3 linked regions of the Caenorhabditis elegans genome follow. The protein of the gene in region 1 purifies or fractionates together with the protein of each later gene. This does not show direct contact. Each region holds a gene or a part of one and is shown in the gene's direction. Other genes may lie near its edges.

What was found. The genes of interacting proteins can lie anywhere in the genome.
Region 2: the proteins of eri-5 (region 1) and drh-3 purify together in Caenorhabditis elegans (affinity purification with mass spectrometry, with the first as the bait; one study listed by BioGRID). This does not show direct contact.
Region 3: the proteins of eri-5 (region 1) and eri-3 purify together in Caenorhabditis elegans (affinity purification with mass spectrometry, with the first as the bait; one study listed by BioGRID). This does not show direct contact.

What each region holds. Positions count from the first base shown.
Region 1 is NC_003282.8:2,389,163-2,396,846, forward strand, and holds eri-5 (Tudor domain-containing protein), read left to right. Parts: upstream 1-1,658; coding exon 1,659-2,087; intron 2,088-2,859; coding exon 2,860-3,097; intron 3,098-3,902; coding exon 3,903-4,196; intron 4,197-4,387; coding exon 4,388-4,499; intron 4,500-5,311; exon of another isoform or gene 5,312-5,374; intron 5,375-5,521; exon of another isoform or gene 5,522-5,584; intron 5,585-5,934; coding exon 5,935-6,272; intron 6,273-6,691; coding exon 6,692-6,876; 3' UTR 6,877-7,094; downstream 7,095-7,684. Other genes in the region: trap-3 (Translocon-associated protein subunit gamma), read left to right, coding at 297-443, 500-597, 671-962; Y38F2AR.10 (Major sperm protein), read right to left, coding at 7,095-7,205.
Region 2 is NC_003279.8:7,818,855-7,826,830, forward strand, and holds drh-3 (Helicase ATP-binding domain-containing protein), read left to right. Parts: upstream 1-1,976; 5' UTR 1,977-1,988; coding exon 1,989-2,086; intron 2,087-2,145; coding exon 2,146-2,319; intron 2,320-2,572; coding exon 2,573-2,648; intron 2,649-2,695; coding exon 2,696-2,777; intron 2,778-2,822; coding exon 2,823-3,347; intron 3,348-3,534; coding exon 3,535-3,660; intron 3,661-3,706; coding exon 3,707-3,888; intron 3,889-3,969; coding exon 3,970-4,151; intron 4,152-4,348; coding exon 4,349-4,674; intron 4,675-5,110; coding exon 5,111-5,391; intron 5,392-5,434; coding exon 5,435-6,343; intron 6,344-6,782; coding exon 6,783-6,883; intron 6,884-6,939; coding exon 6,940-7,078; intron 7,079-7,125; coding exon 7,126-7,232; intron 7,233-7,334; coding exon 7,335-7,386; 3' UTR 7,387-7,524; downstream 7,525-7,976. Other genes in the region: D2005.4 (TPR_REGION domain-containing protein), read left to right, coding at 1-286, 346-351; D2005.7 (NAM-associated domain-containing protein), read left to right, coding at 725-914, 965-1,177, 1,319-1,383; glna-3 (Putative glutaminase 3), read right to left, coding at 7,637-7,976.
Region 3 is NC_003280.10:1,121,810-1,128,291, forward strand, and holds eri-3 (Reverse transcriptase domain-containing protein), read left to right. Parts: upstream 1-1,724; 5' UTR 1,725-1,726; coding exon 1,727-1,832; intron 1,833-1,877; coding exon 1,878-1,951; intron 1,952-2,125; coding exon 2,126-2,297; intron 2,298-2,468; coding exon 2,469-2,650; intron 2,651-3,230; coding exon 3,231-3,575; intron 3,576-3,897; coding exon 3,898-4,064; intron 4,065-4,513; coding exon 4,514-4,594; intron 4,595-4,643; coding exon 4,644-4,819; intron 4,820-4,941; coding exon 4,942-5,175; intron 5,176-5,574; coding exon 5,575-5,663; intron 5,664-5,816; coding exon 5,817-5,927; 3' UTR 5,928-5,982; downstream 5,983-6,482. Other genes in the region: sut-1 (SUppressor of Tau pathology), read right to left, coding at 859-1,057, 1,155-1,239, 1,290-1,363, 1,424-1,444; taf-6.1 (Transcription initiation factor TFIID subunit 6), read left to right, coding at 6,183-6,335.

The sequences.
Region 1 (7,684 bases):
CGGCGTGCAGGTCGGTACGCAAACACCGTGACGCACAGATGCACACGAAGAGAGACTCGACGGAGACACGTTGTAGTTTTTGGAGAGTGGCGGGGTTTTCGTCTCAATTTATATTTATTTTTGACGATTTTTTCGGCGGAAATGTTAATAAATATTAATTTTGTTTGAATTTTCATTGATAATTAGGCATTTTCTTCCTAAAATAGTGGAAAAATACCCCCGAAAATACCGTTTTACTTCCCACTAAACATTTAAATGCATTTTAAAGCATTTTCCTTTCAGAAAATCGAAAAACCATGGGCAAGCTCACCAAGGAAGAGGAACTTCTGCTCTCGAGCTACTCGGCGACCAGCTCCACCAAGGGAAACCTCTTCTTCTACCTCAACGCGTTGATCATCTCCATCGCCCCGCTCTACCTCTTCTACGGAGTTCACCAGATGGAGGTTAGCCGGAAATTCTATCGGCTAGGAAAACCTTGTGAAACGCATTAAATTTTCAGATCCAAGACTCGCTTGTCGTGTGGGGACTCTCTGCCGTCGGCACTGCCTACCTCCTGTCCCTGGCCTGCAAAAACCAGAAGTGCCTTCTCAAGCATCAGTGAGGGTTTTTTTGAATTTTTAAAAATCGGAAATCGATTTTTCACCCCAATAAAAACCCCCAAAATTTTCAGAATCGTGATGAAGCGCGGATCAGCTGTGGAACGCGAGATCAGCGGACAATATGCTGCTGACAAGAAAATGACTGTTAAGGAGAAGGAGGAGCGCGCGCTTTTCCGCAAAAACGAGGTCGCCGACACCGAATCCACCTACTTGTCGGTCTTCTACACAAACTCGCTCTACTTGACCATCATGCTCGTCTCGGCGTTCTTCTTGCTCGCCAACGTGGCTCCAGTCTTCAACTTGCTCATCTCCACCATCGGATCCGCCGGACTCGTCGCCTTCCTCTCCACCGCTAAGAACTAAGCGATCTTTACAAACGGGACCCCCCTTTTTTTTCTCAAAAAGTTTCATGTATTTATCATAAAAAACGAAAGTTTAATTTATTTTTCCCCACCACCCACCCGCAGATTTTTTGTATAATAAATCCCAAAAACTAAAAATGTTTATTTTTTTCTTTTTTCCCAAGAATTTCAGGTTTATAATCCAGTCCAAGCTGCTTTTTTAATATGATTCTGCTCGTCCAAGAGAACTACACAGCTGTTGGGGCAACTGCGCTCCACTGAACAATTATTTTAGCGCGATTTTCTGATTTTTAACATTAAGAACAGCATTTTTCGATAAAACGCCATATTTCATACCATTTTCAGCGATTATAATTAATATTAAACGATTAAAATCGATTTTCGCCAGCGAAAAACACCAAAAATTAAATTTTCACCTCAAGACCAGGTGCTGCAAATGCGCTCTAGTGATAATTAGTTGAAAAACACGGGATTCTGTTAAAATATATGATTGTCTAGTTACAAAATTTGTGAAAAATGAAAAAAAAATTAATTTACAAAGTTTTTCTCATTAGAGCGCGTTTGAGGCATGCGGTCGGCGAGAAACTTGAATTTTAATTGATTTTTAGTGATTTTTAAGTAACAAAGTGTTTAAAAAAAGAAGAAAAATTCAAATTTCCCATGCAAGAAATTTTCCATCAAAAAATCGGATTTTCAGATGCTCTCGGAGGAGCCCTACGAAACGTATCACCCGGAATTTCCAGATCCAGAGATTCGACGAATAGCTCTAAAAAGCTCGGCAGTCGTCGAGCTGCTCCGAATCGAATCACCATCTTCATTTTTCTGCCGTCCCGTCGATCATGTCACCGATGATCAATTATTGATTCGCGAACCGTACCGCCTAACAACTCGAATTATCGATTTTTCGGCGGGAAACATGGCGATGGCTCCGCTCCGGCCACGTGTATTCGCTCGATGTTTAATTTTGAAAAATTTGGAGCTTATCGAGGCCGCCCGGATTTTTTTCATCGATTCTGCGGTCACTGCTAATGTTTCGTGGAAATGTCTGTTTCAAATTGATGAAAATCTCAAATTTCACCCATGGCAGGCGATGCATTGCACTTTGGGACGTTTGGTGCACCTTTCGGTCTGATTTTTAGCACTTTTTAACCCAGAAATTCAAATTTCCCGCCGATCGCATGTTGTAAATGCGCTCTATAGAGCAAAAATGTGTGCATTTTTCCTGATGAAAATCCACGGATTTCTGGCTGGCTTACCTCATAAATTATTGAAATGGAAGAGTTATTGCCGAACTAGGCCATTTTGGCTCGGCCATATATGGGGTAGATTTACGGCGCGTTGCGTGTCGCGTCGCGGTTCGATTTTAGTTATAAAACTAATGCGTTTGTCCGTGTGGAGTACACGGCTTTCCCACGCGTTGTCCGGCAGGCGATTGTCAATGGAGCGCGAAAAATTCGAGGAAGAAGACCAGAACCCCGTGAGAAATTCAAATTTCCCGCCGTTGCAAATGCGCTCCATGGCAAAAATGTGCATTTTTCCTGATGAAAATCGTAAAAAATTGACTGGAAAACTATAAAATAGAGATTTCCATCTGAAAATTCAAATTTTCAAACGAAATATTGAAAGTGCGCTCCATTGAGAAAAACCGGACATTTGAATTTTTGAGAGGAAATTGGGGTTTTTGATGGTTTTTTAACCTAAAAATGCTATTTTTCAGCTAAAATTGACCTGAAAAATACGAAAAAATCCAACAATAAACGGAGATTTTTCATTGGAGCGCACTTGCAACACGCAATCTGAATTTGAATTGCCCGCCAAAAATGTTTTTAAACAATTTACAAAAAAAAAATCGATTTTTTGAAAATTATTGATTTTTCAAAAATTATCGATTTTTTCAGGACTCATGGACAGACACCCAGTGCACCGAATTTCGAAATATTGTCTCTAAATTTGCAAAATTTCAAATTACCGCCAACCAGTGTGACGTGGATTTTCGCTCGGACCGCCCGTCTCTTCTCGTGAACCTGTACGGATTGCCAAATGGAACAGAAATCGATAAAAAAGTGGCGATCGAGGAGATTTGCGCGGTTTCTATGCAAAATGTTATGGTCTCTCAATTTCCCACTAATTTTATGGGTATAATTTTTGAATTTTTGGAAAAAAAAAATTTCGCGAAAATTTCAAAAACCCGAAAAACCCGAACAAAGTTTATATAACATTCGAATTCAGCACGCCGAGAGCTTTGATTTAAGTATAATCATGACTATGGGTTACGAGTAATTGGGTCCCACCACGAAAATCCCCGGGGTTACTGTAGTTTTTCGTGGTGGGACCCGGAAAATTTTCAAAATCAATGGAATCTGGTCATGATTATACTTAAATGGAAGCATTCAAACAGCTGAATTTGAATTTCATAGTTTTGTTTTAAAAAAATGAAAAATTTCCGAAAAATTTGGGTCTCGCCACGAAACCCCGAAATTTTTGGTTTTTCCGCTATTTTTTTGGTTTAAAACATGGAATGTGTTTAAAATGTCATAAAAAACTAATTTTTCTCAAACATTATCTAAAAAAAAATCGAAATTTGGATTAGTTTTTCATAGAAAATGTCAAAAAAGGAATAAAAAATTCAAAAATTTTTGTAAAAATCAAATTCACTACATTTCTAGCTTCAATTTAAGTATAATAATGACCAATTTTGCTAGAATTTGAACAAAAAATCGGGTCCCACCGCGAAAACTACAGTACCCCTGAGGTTTTCGTGGCGGGACCCAACTTTTTTAAAGATTTAGCAAAAAAGGTCATGATTATATTCAAATTGAAGCTCTCAGTGAGACACAATCAGTCGAAATATGAATTTTCAGAAAAAAATTAATTTTGAAAAATTTTGGTTAAAAAAAAAAAAATAAAAACATTTTTTTTTTTTTTGAAAATTTTTTTCCAGTCAATCCCAAGCTCGAGGAGCTCGACAAAGAGCAAGACCACCTCGACGTGATTCTTCTCGAAGAGTTCCGCCGGGACCTCCCAGCCGACTGGGCTCACGAGCCGCCTGCCGATTACCGTGAAGACGACGCCGACTGGGATATACTGCAGTGCCACGTGGCAGAATGGAATGACACGGCACTCGAGCAATTCCGAAGAGCCGATGGAAGCTTTTGGGCGATGCTCGAGCCGAGTTGCACCGTATCACCCTGGGAAATGCACGTTACACCGATTTTGGCACCGGAAAAGATGTCTGGTACGGTGGAAATTGAACAATTTTGCTCGAAATTCTGCTTAAACTCGCGAAATAAAGCGAAAAATTGAGTAAAATGGCGAAAATTGACCCAGAAATTTGAAATTTCCCGCCGACCGCATGTTGTGCAAGCGCGCTCCAATGAGAAAAGGGATAGCGGAGCATCGTACTGAGCACAATTCGAATTTTTTCAGATAATGAACATTGGATTTTCGAGCAGCTCGTAAAAAACTCGGAAAATCAGCAAAAAATCGACGATTTCTACTCGAACCTCAAGAATCAGCGGCCGCTAGAGATGGAAGAAATGTTAGAAAATTTCGAATTTTCAGTGAAAAATGTGAAAAATATGCGGAAATCGATTAAAACCTGAAAAATTATGCTAAAAAATCGATAAGTTCGCCGAAAATTTGAACTTGGCGCTGTTTTATCGATGGAGCGCATTTTTAACGGCGAAAGATTGAATTTTCCGCCAAAAATCGATGTTTTGAAGTTTTTCTCAATAGAGCGCACTTTCAACAGCGAGAAATTTGAATTTTCCACCAAAAATCGATTTTTAAAAGTTTTTCTCAATAGAGCGCACTTTCAACAGCGAAAAAATTGAATTTTCCACCAAAAATCGATTTTTTAAAGTTTTTCTCAATAGAGCGCACTTTCAACAGCGAAAAAATTGAATTTTCCACCAAAAATCGATTTTTTAAAGTTGTTCTCAATAGAGCGCATTTTCTACAGCGAAAAATTTGATTTTTCGTCAAAAATCGATGTTTTTGCTTTTTTCCCAATAGAGCGCATTTTCAACAGCGAAAAAATTGAATTTTCTACCAAAAATCGATTTTTTAAAGTTTTTCTCAATAGAGCGCATTTTCTACAGCGAAAAATTTGAATTTTCGCCAAAAATCGATTTTTTAAAGTTTTTCTCAATAGAGCGCACTTTCAACAGTGAAAAATTGAATTTTCCGCTAAAAATCGATGTTTTTGCTTTTTTCTCAATAGAGCGCATTTTCAACAGCGAAAAATTTGAATTTTCCGCAAAAAATCGATGTTTTGAAGTTTTTCTCAATAGAGCGCATTTTCACCAGCGAAAAATTTGAATTTTTCGCCAAAAATCGATTTTTTGAAGTTTTTCTCAATAGAGCGCATTTTCAACAGCGAAAAAATTGAATTTTTCGCCAAAAATCGATTTTTTGAAGTTTTTCTCAACAGAGCGCGATTACACCAGCGAAAAATTTGAATTTTCCGCAAAAAATCGATGTTTTGAAGTTTTTCTCAATAGAGCGCATTTTCACCAGCGAAAAATTTGAATTTTTCGCCAAAAATCGATTTTTTGAAGTTTTTCTCAATAGAGCGCATTTTCAACAGCGAAAAAATTGAATTTTTCGCCAAAAATCGATTTTTTGAAGTTTTTCTCAACAGAGCGCGATTACACCAGCGAAAAATTTGAATTTTCCGCAAAAAATCGATGTTTTGAAGTTTTTCTCAATAGAGCGCATTTTCACCAGCGAAAAATTTGAATTTTTCGCCAAAAATCGATTTTTTGAAGTTTTTCTCAATAGAGCGCATTTTCAACAGCGAAAAAATTGAATTTTCCGCCAAAAATCGATTTTTTGAAGTTTTTCTCAATAGAGCGCATTTTCAACAGCGAAAAAATTGAATTTTCCGCCAAAAATCGATTTTTTGAAGTTTTTCTCAATAGAGCGCATTTTCACCAGCGAAAAACCGATTTTTCTATTTAAATTTTTTCCAGAAAATTCGCCCTCCAAACCGGCCGAACCTACGTGATGGCAACCATCAAAAATCGCCAAAAATCGTCGGCTCAATGGCTCCGTTGCGAGATTATCGATTTTTTGCCGAACGCCAACGTGGCTCTTCGCTACGTGGATCTGGGAACACGTGGCATCCTGAAGCTCAAAAATTTGCACCGAATGCACATTGAGCACACAAAAATCGCGCCGGCTTGCATTGAAATTGGCCGATTTCTCGACGACGATTTATCGATGGCCGACAGCGAAATGGAGTGGAATACACATTTTTGGCGTGAAATTGTACCCTATGACGTGCCGATCGTTGTCGGACCCGATATGGGTGAGAAATTTACGGATTTCTCTCTGGAAAAGCGACAAAAATGCAATTTTTGCATGTTCCTGTGCGCTCCATTGATAATTTTACCCGAAATCACAGAATTTTACCAAAACTTCACTATTTAACTCAAAAATTCAAATTTCGCGCCGAGAACACCTGAAATTTTGGTTTTTTAACTGAAAAATTCGAAATTTTCATGGGATTTCGCCGATTTTGCAAAATTTCAAATTTCCCGCGCCGGCGGCCTCGTGTCCCAAATGCGCTCCATTGACAAAAATTCTCCTGCGGAACAATTCGATCGATTTTCAGGGGAAAATGCGCTCCATAGCTAATTCGCGCGAATTTTCGTCAAAAATCGATAATTCCCATGTGCGGAATATATCGGAGCATCGTAAAAATCAATAATTTTCCAATCATTTCAGAATTCCTGGAAACCGGCAAACTGCAATTCTCGCAGATTCGGGTCGCCGGCGACGAAGACGACGAAAATTTGCTCGATAAAATCCCGTCGCCGTCGCCGTTTTTCACTGAACGATCCGACGATTTACGTACCCAGAAAGAGGATGATGATGATGGAAATGTTAGCGACGATAAGGATAGCGGATGATTTTATTGATTTTTTCGCATTTCTCCCGTGAAAAATTGCAAAAAAAAAATCGATAATCCACTTGCCCGAGAGGAGTACAAAATCGATAACATAATTTTTTCCTGTTTTTTGTCATGTATTTTATAATATCGATCTCCTCCTCGTTTTAACGATCTGTTTGTTTTACGTGAACGTGTTAAATTATCGATTTTTTACGATAAAAATCAATAAATCAATATTTATTCCAATGGAACAAGCAGACACGTGTATTTTCCAGCGATTAGCGTAGTTTTCATATCTTCCGAAAGTGGGTCATCGGATTGTTGTGGCTGGATTACGAATGTTGGGATCTGGAAATTATCGATTTTTTGGTAGAAAATAAATACTTTTAGTGAAAATTTTGAAAATTTTGACCAGGCGTAGGTTTAGGCTTGGGCTTAGGCTGAGTCAGGCTTAGGGCTTAGGCTTGGTGTCAGTGACGAGCGTGAGCTCTCGACAACCAACTCGACAACCAAACCGGGATTAAGTTGAAATACTTCCCTTGTTAGGAACAAACCCAATTTGAATAAATCATAGGAAATCCCCCCAATCCGACAAGCCTAAGGGCCCGAAAAACATACTAGGATTCGGGCCCTTAGGCTTGTCGGATTGGGGATTTCCTATGATTTATTCAAATTGGGTTTGTTCCTAAGTCTAAATAACCCTTTTTCTTTTCTTTTGCGCTCCAAGCGCAAGGAAAAACCTTCTTGTAGACTTTTTAAGAGGGTTTCTTATATTTTATTAAAATCGGTTAGGCTTGGGAAACTACAAAAAATTGAAAATAAAATTC
Region 2 (7,976 bases), on another chromosome or scaffold:
AGATCATATGGATTCAGAAACTGCTGGTAATTGTTCCGATTCTGTGATCAACGATGAGCCGGTGGAGGCTGAAGACCCCGACAATGTGAAAGTTGAACGGAAAGAAGAGGACGAGTCAATTGACGGAGTATCATGCGATAACGAGAAAATCCCACTGAAACCCTTAGCACAATGTGGCAAGAACTGTTTGTACGGCTTCTACCCGGACGATAAGTGGGCTCTTTTGAATGAGCCAGTAATCAATGAAATTTATCGGCTACGCGAAAAACACGGCTACTCGAACAAGGTAATTTATTTTTTTAGAAATGCCGTTAAATAATTCCAATAACTGAGTTTATTTTCCAGATGTAATCTTCGTGCAATACTTGTAACATATCACAAATGCATTCATCATCGTGATGAGTTCAACAGTTTTATTCAAAAATTTTGAAAATGCTCAAGTGACGAACTTTTTTTCTTTTTTTTTTTGTTAAGATTATTTCATTTCCCTTTAAAATTTTCTCTATAGAGCTATAGTATCGTTGTTCGTGTTTTCTAATAAACGCTTTAAAGTTTTGTTCTATAGGTTTTTATTGTTATCCAATATTGGTTTTAACCAGAAATATGCACTACATGTTATGACACTTTTCATATTAGTATTACTTTTTATTGTTTAACACGTTAACTTTACCGAGGTTTTGCAGCCCTACCCGTGTCCTATTTTATGCTGATATTCATCTTCCAGATGGGCAACAAAAAAAATAAATCAAGTGGGTCCCGAAAGAATCATTCTCAGCATTATTCTCAGCCAACAATGACCGTAGAGGAGTGCTTGAAGGAGTACGAGAACACAGGAAATTTCGCCAAGTTCTACCCGAATTACATTTTCCAACGGTTGCCAAAAGAGTTCCTCCAAAAATACTTAGCCTCTAAAAGTTCGTTTTACAAGAAAAGTTGACAAGTTTAACAACCTTCGCAATTTCAGAAAATAAAAATATTTCTAAAAATCCATCACTAAGTTGTTCAAACTCTACATTGGACAATATGAAAGAGACGTCGAAAAGTATCTATGTGGACGTGGATCCAGATGATCCTCTCTCCGATGAAGCATTCACTGCTCAACATCCTGTGGAAGAATGGTTTCGACTTCCTCTCGAATGGCGCATTGAGATCGAAAGGCAGCGTTTTGTGAAAAAAGGTATTTTATTCATGGCTAGAAAATTAATCCTACAAAAAACCGCTTAAAACTCGATTTTTGAGTAAAGAAAGAATTTAACAATTTTTCATATGGATAATTTATTAAATATCGAAAAAAAGCATTTCTCTTATTTTCTTTCAGAACGCGCCGACCGTGCTGCTGAAGCTGCCAGGAACTCCGCTGAACTTCTAAAGCCAGACGCTTAAAAGTGCATCAACGATTCGTTTTAACGTTGTAAAATGTTATTTTCGATGTTTTCTTTTCATCCAGTTATTCGTATTAATTTGCCATTCATCAGCTGAAATTCATCCCAACAACCTGCCGAAAGAATTTTATTTTCTGTTCTATCTTTCAAATTTCCTTTTCTTTTCTTCATTTTCTGTTGGCAGCTGCTCGTATTTCCATCACCGGTTCCCGTGAATTTGCAGTTTTAATGAAAGTTTTATTCTTGTTTTAAATATTATGATTTTATTTTCTCACAAGGTTGAAGAGCCAAAACATTTATTTATGTTGTAGAATTTAAATACTAATTTTATTGATTCCGCCGTTGCTCATCGTTAAATATTGAATACTGAAACCAAAACTTCCCTTCCTGACACTACTTGCCCTTCTTTAACACTAATAATGGTTTTCTGTTCATTCATGTATTTCCCTCTTAACTTTTTATCATTGGCAAGAGGAAGAGAAAATCATTAATGTGAAAACCTCTGCCACACTTGTTTATATTTTGTGCGCCAGTTTGAACAACATGTCTTTTTGTCGTTTTGTCGGCAAAATTTAATTTAATAATTTCCTACAGATATTTTCGATAATGCAACCAACTGCAATACGTTTAGAAGATTACGACAAATCGAAGCTTCGCCTTCCGTTTGAGTCTCCATATTTTCCAGCGTATTTTCGTCTTCTCAAGTAAGAAAATTATACATTTCCCCCCTTGCACTCGATCAAATAATTAAATATTATTTTAGATGGAAATTCCTTGATGTATGCGTGGAGAGTACACGAAACAACGATATCGGATATTTCAAACTATTTGAATCGCTGTTCCCGCCAGGAAAATTGGAAGAAATTGCCAGAATGATCATTGACGAGCCAACTCCAGTTTCTCATGACCCGGACATGATTAAAATCAGAAATGCCGAGTAAGACGACAGAGAAATCATGTATTAGAAAAACGTTCCAACGAAAACAATTTCTTCGGTGTTATCTATATCTGTGACGGCAAGGATGTCGAAACGGAGTTTTGAAAACATAAAATTGTTTTAATGACTTAAATTTTTATAAAAAGTTTAAATATCGTGAGTTTTCGAGTCACAGAAGCTTAAAAGGTCAAAAAAAAGTATTATGGTGTCTGGAATTTTCGTGCCATATTTTTTTTAAATACCAATTTTTCAGTCTCGACGTTAAAATCAGAAAACAGGCAGAAACATACGTTACATTGCGTCACGCACATCAGCAGAAAGTTCAAAGGGTAAAAACACTTTTGAAAAACATTTAATAAAATAATTTTTATTTCAGAGAAGATTCTCGGAATGTTTTTTGAACACTGTTTTGTTCGATGAGAAGGGACTCAGAATTGCTGACGAAGTGATGTTTAACTGTAAGTAATCGTGAAATTTCAAACGTTTTGAACTGTAAAATTCAGACGATAAAGAACTTTATGGATACTCACACTGGGAAGATCTTCCTGATGGCTGGTTAACTGCTGAGACTTTCAAAAATAAATTCTACGATGAAGAGGAAGTTACCAATAATCCATTTGGATATCAGAAGCTTGATAGAGTGGCTGGAGCTGCACGTGGAATGATTATTATGAAGCATCTGAAATCGAATCCACGTTGTGTTAGTGAAACTACAATTCTCGCTTTTGAAGTATTTAACAAAGGTAATCATCAACTATCAACTGATTTGGTCGAAGATTTGCTAACCGAAGGACCAGCGTTCGAGCTGAAAATCGAGAATGGAGAAGAGAAAAAATATGCTGTGAAGAAATGGAGTCTTCATAAGACTCTCACCATGTTTCTCGCAATCATCGGATTCAAATCGAATGACAAAAAAGAGAAAAATGAACACGAAGAGTGGTATTACGGATTTATTGATGCAATGAAGAATGATCCAGCTAATCGAGCGGCTCTCTACTTTTTGGATAAGAACTGGCCAGAAGAGCTTGGTAAGTTTTTTTTTGTTTGGAAATTAAATAGCGGCAAACATTTTGTACTTCAGATTTCAAAATACTGAAATTATTTTAATACAATTTTAAATAATGCCTAACTTTTTATTATTCGGCCATCTCATGCTATTTGATGTATTTTACGAATTTCGATTTACAATCTAGGCTTAACTAAATCAATTTTCAGAAGAACGAGAGAAAGAACGTGACCGTATCCGCCTTACCCTACTGAAAAGTCAGCGGACTAACGAGGAAGCTGTCGGCGAGGATGTTTGCACGACAATACGTCCACAACCGAAAGACAGCGGCTACAGTAAGATTATATTTCCAACATTTAGTGCAAATTTTCCTTTTTCCAGATCCAGATGCGGTGGTTACTGAACTTGTATTGCGTACTTATCAAGAAGAACTTGTCCAACCGGCTCTCGAAGGAAAGAATTGTGTTATTGTTGCTCCGACTGGTTCTGGTAAAACAGAAGTGGCAATTTATGCGGCTCTCAAACATATTGAAGAACGAACATCCCAAGGAAAGCCTTCCAGAGTATGTTTTTTTTTTAATTTTCTCGTCAAGTTCTAATATTATTTCCCCTTGATATAGAAGCAATAAAATTTTATTTTCCAGGTTGTGCTCCTTGTGCCGAAAATCCCGCTTGTCGGTCAACAAAAAGACAGATTCCTGAAGTATTGTAACGGAATGTACGAAGTTAATGGTTTTCATGGATCCGAGAGCAGTGTCAGTGGAACAGGACGTCGTGATGAAGTAATTGCTACTCATGTATCAGTTATGACTCCTCAAATTCTGATGTGAGTTAATGGAATCAGGTTCATTAAATTCTGAATCGAAAATTTCTGATATAACTCATTAATTTTTTATTTTACTTTTTTTTTTCAAAAAAAATTATAAATTATAAAAAGAGTGCAATTTTAATCAAGATATATAAAATGTTTAATTTTTTCGGATCGAGCTCTGGTTTTTATAATACCCGAACTAATTATTTCAGCAACATGCTTCAATCGGTACGTCAAAATGAGCGTTTGTATGTGAGTGATTTCTCAATGATGATCTTCGATGAAGTACATAAAGCTGCAAAAAATCATCCATATGTGTTGATTAATCAAATGGTTCAAGAATGGAAGTATGAAAAACCACAAATCATTGGTCTGACAGCTTCATTGAGTGTCAAAGTTGATGGACAAAAAGACGAGAATCAGATGCTTAATGATATTTATAATATGCTCGCATTGATCAACGCTCCACATTTGAGTACAATCACTCGCCAATCGAGCATAGATGAGCTCAATGAGCATGTTGGAAAACCAGATGATTGTAAGTTTGTTCTCAAGTTGGAAATTTAGTTTTTTTTTTCTTAAAAACCATAAATAAATTTTAAAATACAAATAAGATAAATTTCTAGGTGTATCAAATTATAAAAATATTTATTTTCAAGTTTACACAGTTCAAAAAAATTTGAAAATTGTAAATTGTTCTTGTAAAATGAAAAATGGTTTCTAAATGAAGTGTTGTAAACAGGAATTGAAAAAAAAAACCTTCGGAAGCTGAAAACCCACTTTAGAATCAAAACCACGGTATTGAAATTTCCTTTGTTTTCCCTTATTTCTCATGGTATTGTTTAACTTCAAGCTAATCCGGCAATTTCAAAGTAAATTCCTCATTTACTCTATTCCAAAAATAACCAATTACTTGTTTTCTCTTCGGAATATGAAATTTCATGAGAGAATTATTTCAAAAAAATTCTTCTCAGCTGTCGAACTATGCTTGCCTGCCAAAGAAAATATCCTTCGAGATTACATCGAACGATACCTTAACCACGCCCATGGCAAATTTCTCGAAGAATTAGCAAGCATGTCTAAATCAACTGGCCGCAACAACACTATCCCACCGAATATGATTAACACGTTTAAAAAGAATCAACCGAAGAATTATGAGTACTACGATTCATTACTTCAAGGTATTATTCAAGAGTTGAACAAATTGAATGTTCCTGAGAAATGGAATTCTCAAACTTGGGCGAAATACATGAAGGTTTGATTCATTTTCAAAGATTCTTGTAAATGAAATGATTTAGGTATATCTCGAAGCTCGCGGAATCGTTGATCTGATGCCTGCGATGGTTGCATTCAAATACATGGAAAAAGCTATTGGGAAATTGAATGAAAGTCATTCAGAGACAGTCGAATACAGCACCTTCATCAAAGACCATGATACTTTGAAACAAACAATTCAATCCGTTGAACCAGAAATTGTTCTACGTCTCAAGAATACACTCACCAATCAGTTCCACGTGGCTCCTGAATCTCGAGTTATTATTTTCGTAACACAAAGAAGCACCGCTCAACGTGTCAGTGATTTCTTGAACGAATCTAAAGTTTTAGATCAATTTGGTAATTATGGTGAACAAATGGTTGGATATGTTCTCGGAACAAACAAACAGGGCGCTGTACAGCAGACTTCACAAGAACAACAATTGACACTTGATAAATTCAACAATGGAAGACTTAAAGTAATTGTGGCAACGTCAGTTGTTGAAGAAGGTCTCGATGTTACTGCATGTAATCTTATTATCAAGTACAACTGTTCATCAGGATCAGCCATTCAACTTGTTCAACAAAGAGGTCGTGCACGTGCCAAAAACTCTCGTTCTGTGCTTTTATCAGTGAAGAGTAGTATCAATGAAACCGAGACTAACGCGTTAATCTCTGAAAAGTATATGAGACTTTGTGTGAAGAAGATCACAGAGAATGGCGAGAAACAATTGGCTGCAGAAGTGAAACGAGTCGCTGAACTAAATGCGGCTGAAAGGAAACGAAATCTGGAAGAGCAACTCAATTTGAGATTACGACATGAGAATAAGATTTATAAATTGATGTGCAGCAATTGTTCAAAAGAGTTCTGCAAGAGTATTTATATCAAAAAAGTGTTCTCGAATTACATGGTGTTCGATCCAAGTGTATGGAGATTTTTGCATGTTGAATCGGTACGTTTGATGAATGCTCAAAAACCGGAGCCGGCTTGTCGAAAATATAATTTTAATGAATTTTGTAAGATTATACTCGTAGACCAGGGCTGTAAAACCATTTTCCCAAAAAACCGAAACCTAAAATTTCTCAAAAAAAAAGACAATTAAAAAAATTTCTGTCACTAAAAAATCGTTTTAAAGTAAAAAAATCGCTTTATTCATCTGAAATTAACTTATTCAGGTTGAAACATTTATAAAGTGCTTAAAAATTACCTGGAAGTGTCGAATTGCCGATTATCAAATTGCTGAATTTCCGAACTTTGCTTTCCGACAATTGACTTTCAGGCTATTTTTGTGCAATTTCCAGATGTTTCAAGTAAATGTTTTTTTCAGCTAAGCCGACTTCTGTTTATCATAGAAACGCAATTTGTGATTGTGAAAAATTGAATTTTTTCAGAAGCGAAAGGTGAGTAAGTACTTGAGTGAGGACAATCAACCACTCAGTGATATCAAATGCTTCCATTGCAAGTTGGATGTTGGAAGAGCTTACAAAATAAGGTAATTGAAATTTAATTTATTTAAAAGTCGTTTCTTATAAAACAACATTTCTACAGAGGAACCTATTTGCCGCAACTCAGTGTCAAGGCGTTGACATTTGTTCAAGAATCAGACTATTCCTCGATGACAAAAGCAAAATGGTCGGATGTGGAACAGGATCTGTTTTATATTTCAGAAGCAATCGAGGATGACTTTGTAAGATTTTGGTCACTTGATTATTTAAAAATTGTACGAATTTACAGAGAATCATGTTGAATGCGCTCTCCGATACTGAAGAAAATATCGAAAAGAAGATTGTTCTTGATTTGGACTCACGACAACACAATAAGCAACTCGAGATGAAGAGATTGTAAGTGTGCTCTGGATTGTGATTCCTTTTCTGTTTAACACTTTCGAAGCTCAAAAAATACGGATAAACTCTCTATTATCATAATAATGCTTTCATTTTCAGCCATATTCAACAAGAACCACCAACGAAGGGAGTTGCACCAGAAGCTCAATGATCATCTCAAGGATTTCCAACTTGTACGAGAATTCAATTTTTCTTAATCTTTTTTGTTATTTTAATATCATTCATCGTGTTCTATTTACCGAGCAATTTTCATTCGATCTCTTGAATAATATAAAGCTCTATTTAGTTTTATTTTTTTAATTGATCTTTCAATTTTTCTTCCAACAATTTGACTGTAAATTAACAAATGACAAAAAATGGAATGATTTATTAATTTAAATCAATTTCTAGAACATCTATTCCTAATCATCTTGTCCTTTAAGATTGTAAACCGTAATTGCCTCTTCTAGCAGCTTAACACAAGCAGTATGATTAAAATGTTTAGCATCATCCAATGGAGTTCTATCATATCTATCACATGGATTCGGATCCTCTTGCCATTTACTCAATACGTATTCCAATGTGACAACGTCTCCTTCAGCAGCAGCCACGTGTAAAACTGTTCGATCATCATAATCTTTGCAATGAATATCATGTCCCATCAAAAGGAATCGTTTAATTGCAGCAATATCACCCAATTTTGTAGCATACATGAAACGATTCTGACCGTCATGATCATCTTTCAATTGACGACGAGGATCG
Region 3 (6,482 bases), on another chromosome or scaffold:
TAAAAATTTGAATTTTTGAGTGTTTCAAGTGCGCTCTGATGCGAATTTTAGAGGGAAATTTGAATTTTTTGGCAATTTTGAATTTTTGAGTGTTTCAAGTGCGCTCTAATGCGAATTTTGGCGGTAAATTCGAATTTTTCCTAAAAATTGAATTTGTCGGTGTTGCAAATCAGCTCTAATGCGAATTTTAGCGAGAAATTCGAATTTTCTAGTGTCTAAAATGCGCTACAATACAAATTTTAACGGAAAATTCAAAATTTTTCTAAAGTTTTGAAATTTCAAGTGTTTCAAGTGCGCTCTAATGCGAATTTTGGTGAAAAATTCAAATTTTCACAAAATTTCGAATTTTCAAGTGTTTCAAGTGCGCTCCAATGCAAATTTCAAATAATAATTTAAATTTTCACAGAATTCTTGAATTTTCTAGTGTCTAAAGTGCGCTCTAATGCAAATTTTAGGCGGAAGTTTATATTTTAACAAAAGTTTGAATTTCCGAGTGATTCAAGTGCGCTCTAATGCTAATTTCAGCGGGAAATTCGATTTTTTCGTAAAAATTGAACTTTTCGGTGCTGCAAATGTGCTCTAGTGTGAATTGTAGCGGAAAACTGAGATTTTCGGTTCAAAATTCAACTTTTCATAAAATTTTGAAATATTGAATGTTCCAAGTGCGCTCCAATGCGAATTTTGGTGGAAAAATCAAATTTTTACAAAATTTTGAATTTCTCCGTGTTTCAAGGGCGCTCCAATGCAAATATCGGCGAAAAAGTCAAATTTTTACGGAATTTTGAATTTCGGCTGTTCCAAATGCGCTCTAATGCAAATTTCAGCGAAAAATTCAAATTTTCCGGTTAAAAACCGTACGTGGCGGTCTCTGCATCATCATATTCTGCATCATTTGTTGCTGCTGGAGCTGAGCTGCAGCAGCGGCTCTTTTCTGCATTTCCGTCTGCTCCATTCCTCTCAAATGATGTGCCATGTAGGCTTCTTGTGATTGTGCGTAGGCGGCCGCCGCCGCTTCTGCCTCCTTGTCAACTGCCGCCGCTTTTCGGTGCTTTTGTTGCTGAAAATTGAACATTTTAAAGTAAATTCAGCATTTTTGGGTCAAAAATTGTCTTTTTTCCAGATTTTTCTATAATTTTTAGGTTTTTTTTACGAACCTGTGACGTTCTCGCCTCCACTTCTTTCTCCCACTGCTCGAATTGCTGTACATACGAATTATAAGCCTCCGTGCCAATGGAACCCCTGAAAATCATCCAAATTTGCAATTTTTCCCCGAAACTCGAGTTTCCCACTTATTATTCTCCTTCCACTGCTCGAATTGAGCTCGATAGTCTGCGTATTGCTTCTGCAACTCTTCCTCTGATACCTGGAAATAGAGAAAAATCGATTTTCTGCGAAAAATCCTTGAAAAACGATAAAAACTCACTTTTTTCGAGGCTCCCGACATAATTATCTGAAATTTAAATAACTTTCTATAGATTTTATGAGAAAAAATGGAGAAAATCGACGGAAAACTGGCGAAAATCGATAAAAAACAATTTTTTTCAAAAAAATAAATGGTGGCCGAGGAGGGGTTTTCTAGGCCATTTTGACTTTAGACTCGGCCACCACGATTTTTTGAATTAATTTCGCTGATTTTTTCGCTATTTTTATTCATTTTCTCCCGTTTTTTCTGATTTTTTCTGTTAAAATCAATAAAAATTCCTAAAAATCCGATTTTTCTTCAGGTATGCAACCCGTTCTTGTAAATAGTCGACCATTACGGGTGAAATCGCACGAATCCGAGTCAAAACTCAATTTAATCGAGCAAGAAGACCAGTTTGAAGGCGCAAATTGTGAGTTTTTAGTGCCAAATTTGATTTTAAAGCTTGTAAATTCAGATTCAAGCTCGTCTGGTGTCATAATATGCTATTCGAATGGTACCGGAGAGGTTATTACGCAGGAGGCGTTTGATGTAAGGGAATTTCCAGGGAAAATCGATATTTGGAGTCCTAAAATATGCAAATTATTGATAAAAATCGCAAAAATTGCCTTAAAAACACGACGAAAAAACAGTTAAAAATCGAAAAAAAAACCATGATTTTCCAATTTTTTTTTTGCAAAAAATTTAAAAACTCGCAATTTTCAGGATTCCGGCATTCATTTTATCTTCTCAAAAGCCACGTGTATACAATATCCGTCAAATTTCGACCCAATCGGTGTGGGATCCGTCGTTCAGATCTTCTGGAGCCGGAGCTTCGAACGGGTGGTCCGCGGGAATCATATTATAGTGCAAATCGAGAAAATGGAGGTTTATAAGTGTAAGTTTGACCCGGAAATTCGAATTTCCCGCCAAAATTCACCCTGAAACACTTGCAAATTCGAAAATTCGGTGAAAATTCAAGTTTATAACCTAAAAATTTGAATTTCCCGCCGACCGGATGCTGCAAGCTCGCTCCACCGAACAAATCATGAGAAATTCAAATTTTCAGGTTGTGCAATGCTCCGCGAGCAGGTTTTCGTCACATTCAACTCCCCGTCGACTGCTGGCGTCGCAATTGGAGTCACCGAACGAAATATTACTGTAGCTTTCCATCCGAACTGCTCGCCTGTTATTCGCTACGAGACCTTAAAGGCGCATAGCATTGGACGCACCGAATTCGAGATTAAAGATGTACGGGAATTTGAATTTTCCAACGGAAAAAATGTGCTCTATTGAGAAAATTGCGAAAAAAACGGGGTTTTGCCTTTGAATTTTTAATTGAAAAAGTGAATTTTAAATAAATTATTGCCGAAAATTAGATTTTTCATTGAAAAATTTTTTTAAAAACAATTTTCTTCGAAGAAAAATTTAATTTTGGCTGAAAAACGTGCATTCTCCACTTAAAAAAACATTTCCCACCCACCGCGTGCTGCGAGTGCGCTCCAATGCAAATTTTGCATTAGCGCGCATTTGCAGCTTGCGGTCAGCGAGAAATTCGAATTTTTGGGTTGAAATTGATAGAATTTAACTCAAAAATTCAAATTTCCCGTCAGAATACTACTTTACACAGAATATCTCTACTCAAAATTCACTTTTTTCGTTCAAAATATCAGTTTTAAACCTGAAATTTCAAATTTCCCGCGGATCGCATGCTGCAGATGCGCTCCGATGCAAAATTTGCAATAGAGCGCATTTACAGCTTGCGGTCGGCGGGAAATTTGAATTTTTGGGCTAAAAAAGCGGATTTTCACCAAAAATTCAAATTTTCCAGAGACACCGAGAGAACACGAATCGAATGGTGGACGTTATCCTGGCGGCAGTACCATTCCGCGTCGAAATCCACGGAAACGTCGATAAAATCCCATTTTTCGTCATTGAAAAGTGCCGAAATTCGCCGGGCCGATCCGGCGCCGCTGTCATCACAAAAATTATGAAAAATCATTTTATGGAAGCGAATTTCCTGCAAAATTCCGAATCGATCTACTTTGATTCGACGTCTTGCCACTCGAATATTCTCGAAAAAGTCAGCATTGGCTCACTGATTAATGTGCTTGCCGACCCCACATTTGCCACGTCATCATACAAATGGTATGGCTATGACGTCACTCTGTGTAATGTTCGTTTTTTAGTGATTTTTTACCAATTTTTACGCAAAAAATTTGAGATTTTCGTGTTTTTTCCCGCGATTTTTACCTAAAAATTGGCACTTTAACTGAAAAAATCGAATTTTCGTGGCTTATGTGCTTCCACCTTAATTTGGGGGTCAAAAATACCGATTTTAATGGATTTTTGGTTATTTTTGAGCCAAAAATTCATTAAAAGCCGTATTTTCTACCCTTGGATTATTCGTAGAGCACATTTGCCACCGGAGATGCGGAAGCTATGCCCAAATTTTGAATTTTTCACTCAAAAACTTGCAAAAAATTTTTTTTTTCCAGAATTACCTCGCCCACGCCAGCACACAGAGAAGCTTTGTACTGGAAAATAATGAGATTCTGCAAAATTGTAAGAAGCTCGAAAAATCGCCGGAAGAAGCGGAAACCACTACGAAAAATGATTTGAGATTTGTGCCACCGCAGCCGGAAAAGGGAGAGGTTAAGAAAAAGTACGGAAATCTCGAAAATTTCAGCGAAAAATTTGAAATTCCGGCATTTTTGAGCAGGAAATCCGTTAAAAAACCCAAAAATTCAAATTTCCCGCAAATTTATCATTAGAGCGCACTTACACTCATAAAAATGCCGAAATTGTGTGGAAAATTGATTGAAATTTAAATTTCTCTCCTGCAAATGCGCCCCAATGCAAATTTCTTCAGATTTTTGCATCGGAGCGCATTTGCACCATTTTTCGAATATTTTTTTGTGGCTCCTGTGCTTCTACCCTAATCTGGGGGTAGAAAATACCGGTTTTAATGAATTTTTAGCAGAAAAATTTATTAAAATCCGTATTTTCTATCCCCGATTACTGGTAGATCACATTTGCCACCGGAGATGCGGAAGCTATGCCCAAATTTTCGTTTTCAGCTTTTTTACCCGGAAAAACGCAATTTTTTTGCAGAAAAATGACGAATTGCCTGAAATTCAACTCGAAAAGTGCTCAATTCAAGCTCCGACATCTCATCCTCGACAGATGCTTCAGGTAGATCAAAAATTCAAATTTTCAGCCAAAAAATATCGATTTTTTCCAGCGAATTACCGGAACGCGAGGCCAAATCGATTATCAACTCGTATTTTATCGATCGACTTGCCGAGGGCATAAAAATCGAGAAAATCGACAAAAATTGGAGGACATTTGGTGAAATTTTGCCGAAAACTCCAAAAAAGTACAGCGAATCGCTGAAAAAATCGATTCAAAACGTTTTGGGTAGGTTTAGATGTTGCAAATGCGCTCTAATGCGAAAATCGGCGAAAATTCGCATTGGAGCGCATTTGCAGCGTGCGATCCCCGCGAAATTTGAATTTTTCGTATAAAAATCCTGTTTTCAGAACCATTTGGCCTCAACAAACCGGAAAAAGCAGCGGAAACTCCAAAAATTGTGGAATATTTCCCGAAAAATCCGAAAAAACGTGTGGAAATCGTTGAAAAACCGACGGTCGACGAGATTCGCGAGCTCTTTGGAGCACTTATGGACGCGGAGGGTTTTGCGTTGAATCAACGTGTGAAGCCGCATTTCGTGCTACCCGATACTCGCTGGAAGCCCACAGAACGGAGATATATTGGTAAAAATTGGATTTTTCGCGAAAAAATGGCGTTTTTTGCATGTTTTAGCCGGTTAAAACATGAATTTTCGAAGGTTTTTTGCCTATTTTTCCCTAAAATGGAGCATTTTTCTGATTTGGGGGTACTGTAGCTACAGTAACCATCGGATTTTTCCCTAAAAAGTAAAAATTGTGGCTTCTGTTCTTTACGCCTAATCTGGGGTCGAAAACAAGTATTTTTTATGATTTTTTAAGCTAAAAAGCTTAAAATCCATTAAAATCCGTATTTTCCAGCCCTGGATTATCCGTAGAGCACATTTGCCACCGGAGATGCGGAAGCTATGCCCAAATTTTCATTTTTCCACCCAAAAACTTGGACTTTCAGTCAAATTTTCAATTTTAAGCCCTTTTTCCGTTCAGGAATCTACGACGACGTGCAATGGACGTTTATGAGCACATTTTGCCCGAAAATCGAGGAAAATTCCGAAAATCGACCGCTCGCCGGCGGGGTAATATGGATTTTTGTCGATTGGAGCGCATTTGCAGCTTGAAAATTGTATTTTTCAACAAAAAATTCAAATTTCCCGCCGACCGCGTGCTGCAAGTGCGCTACATTGAGAAAATAGCCAATTTTCCACCCAAAAATCGATTTTTTTTTTCAGTGGTGGTACCGGCGAACCGTCCCACGGGACCATCCCGTCGAAATTGTGCAGAAAATGGAAACTCGGCGGAATATTATCAAAGATTGTACAGAATCCCCGTTTATTGAATGAAAAACTAACTCGTGTGAATTTAAAAAAAAAATATAAATAGTTTTATCGATTTTTTTCTCATTTTTCTGATTTTTTATCGCCTTTTTCGGGTTTCCCACCCATAATTTACCTATTTTAAGAGGAAAATTTGAATTTCCCGACGATTTGGTGGTGCGATCGCGCTCCAATGATAAATTGGCATCGGGGCGCGATTGCGACATGCGGTCGACGGGAAAATGAATTTTAATCTGAAATTTCAGCTCCTCGCCACTTAAAATGTCAAAAACCGTAACAATACGGCGCCCATCGCCCACAAAAACCTCAGAAGAGCCCGCTGCTCACCAGACTCCGATTTTCACACAAACCGCCGCTGAAATGCTCGGAATTACCAGCTTGAACACAGAAGCCGCCGAATTATTGGAGTTTTTGGTAAAAAATCCGGGATTTTGTGGTTTTTTTTGCGATTTTTTAGCCAAAATTCCATTAAAACGCGGATTTTTCACCCTTACATTGCAGAAAAAAATTTTTTGAGTCAAAAATTCAAATTTCCCACCGATGAAGTGCTGTAAACGCGCT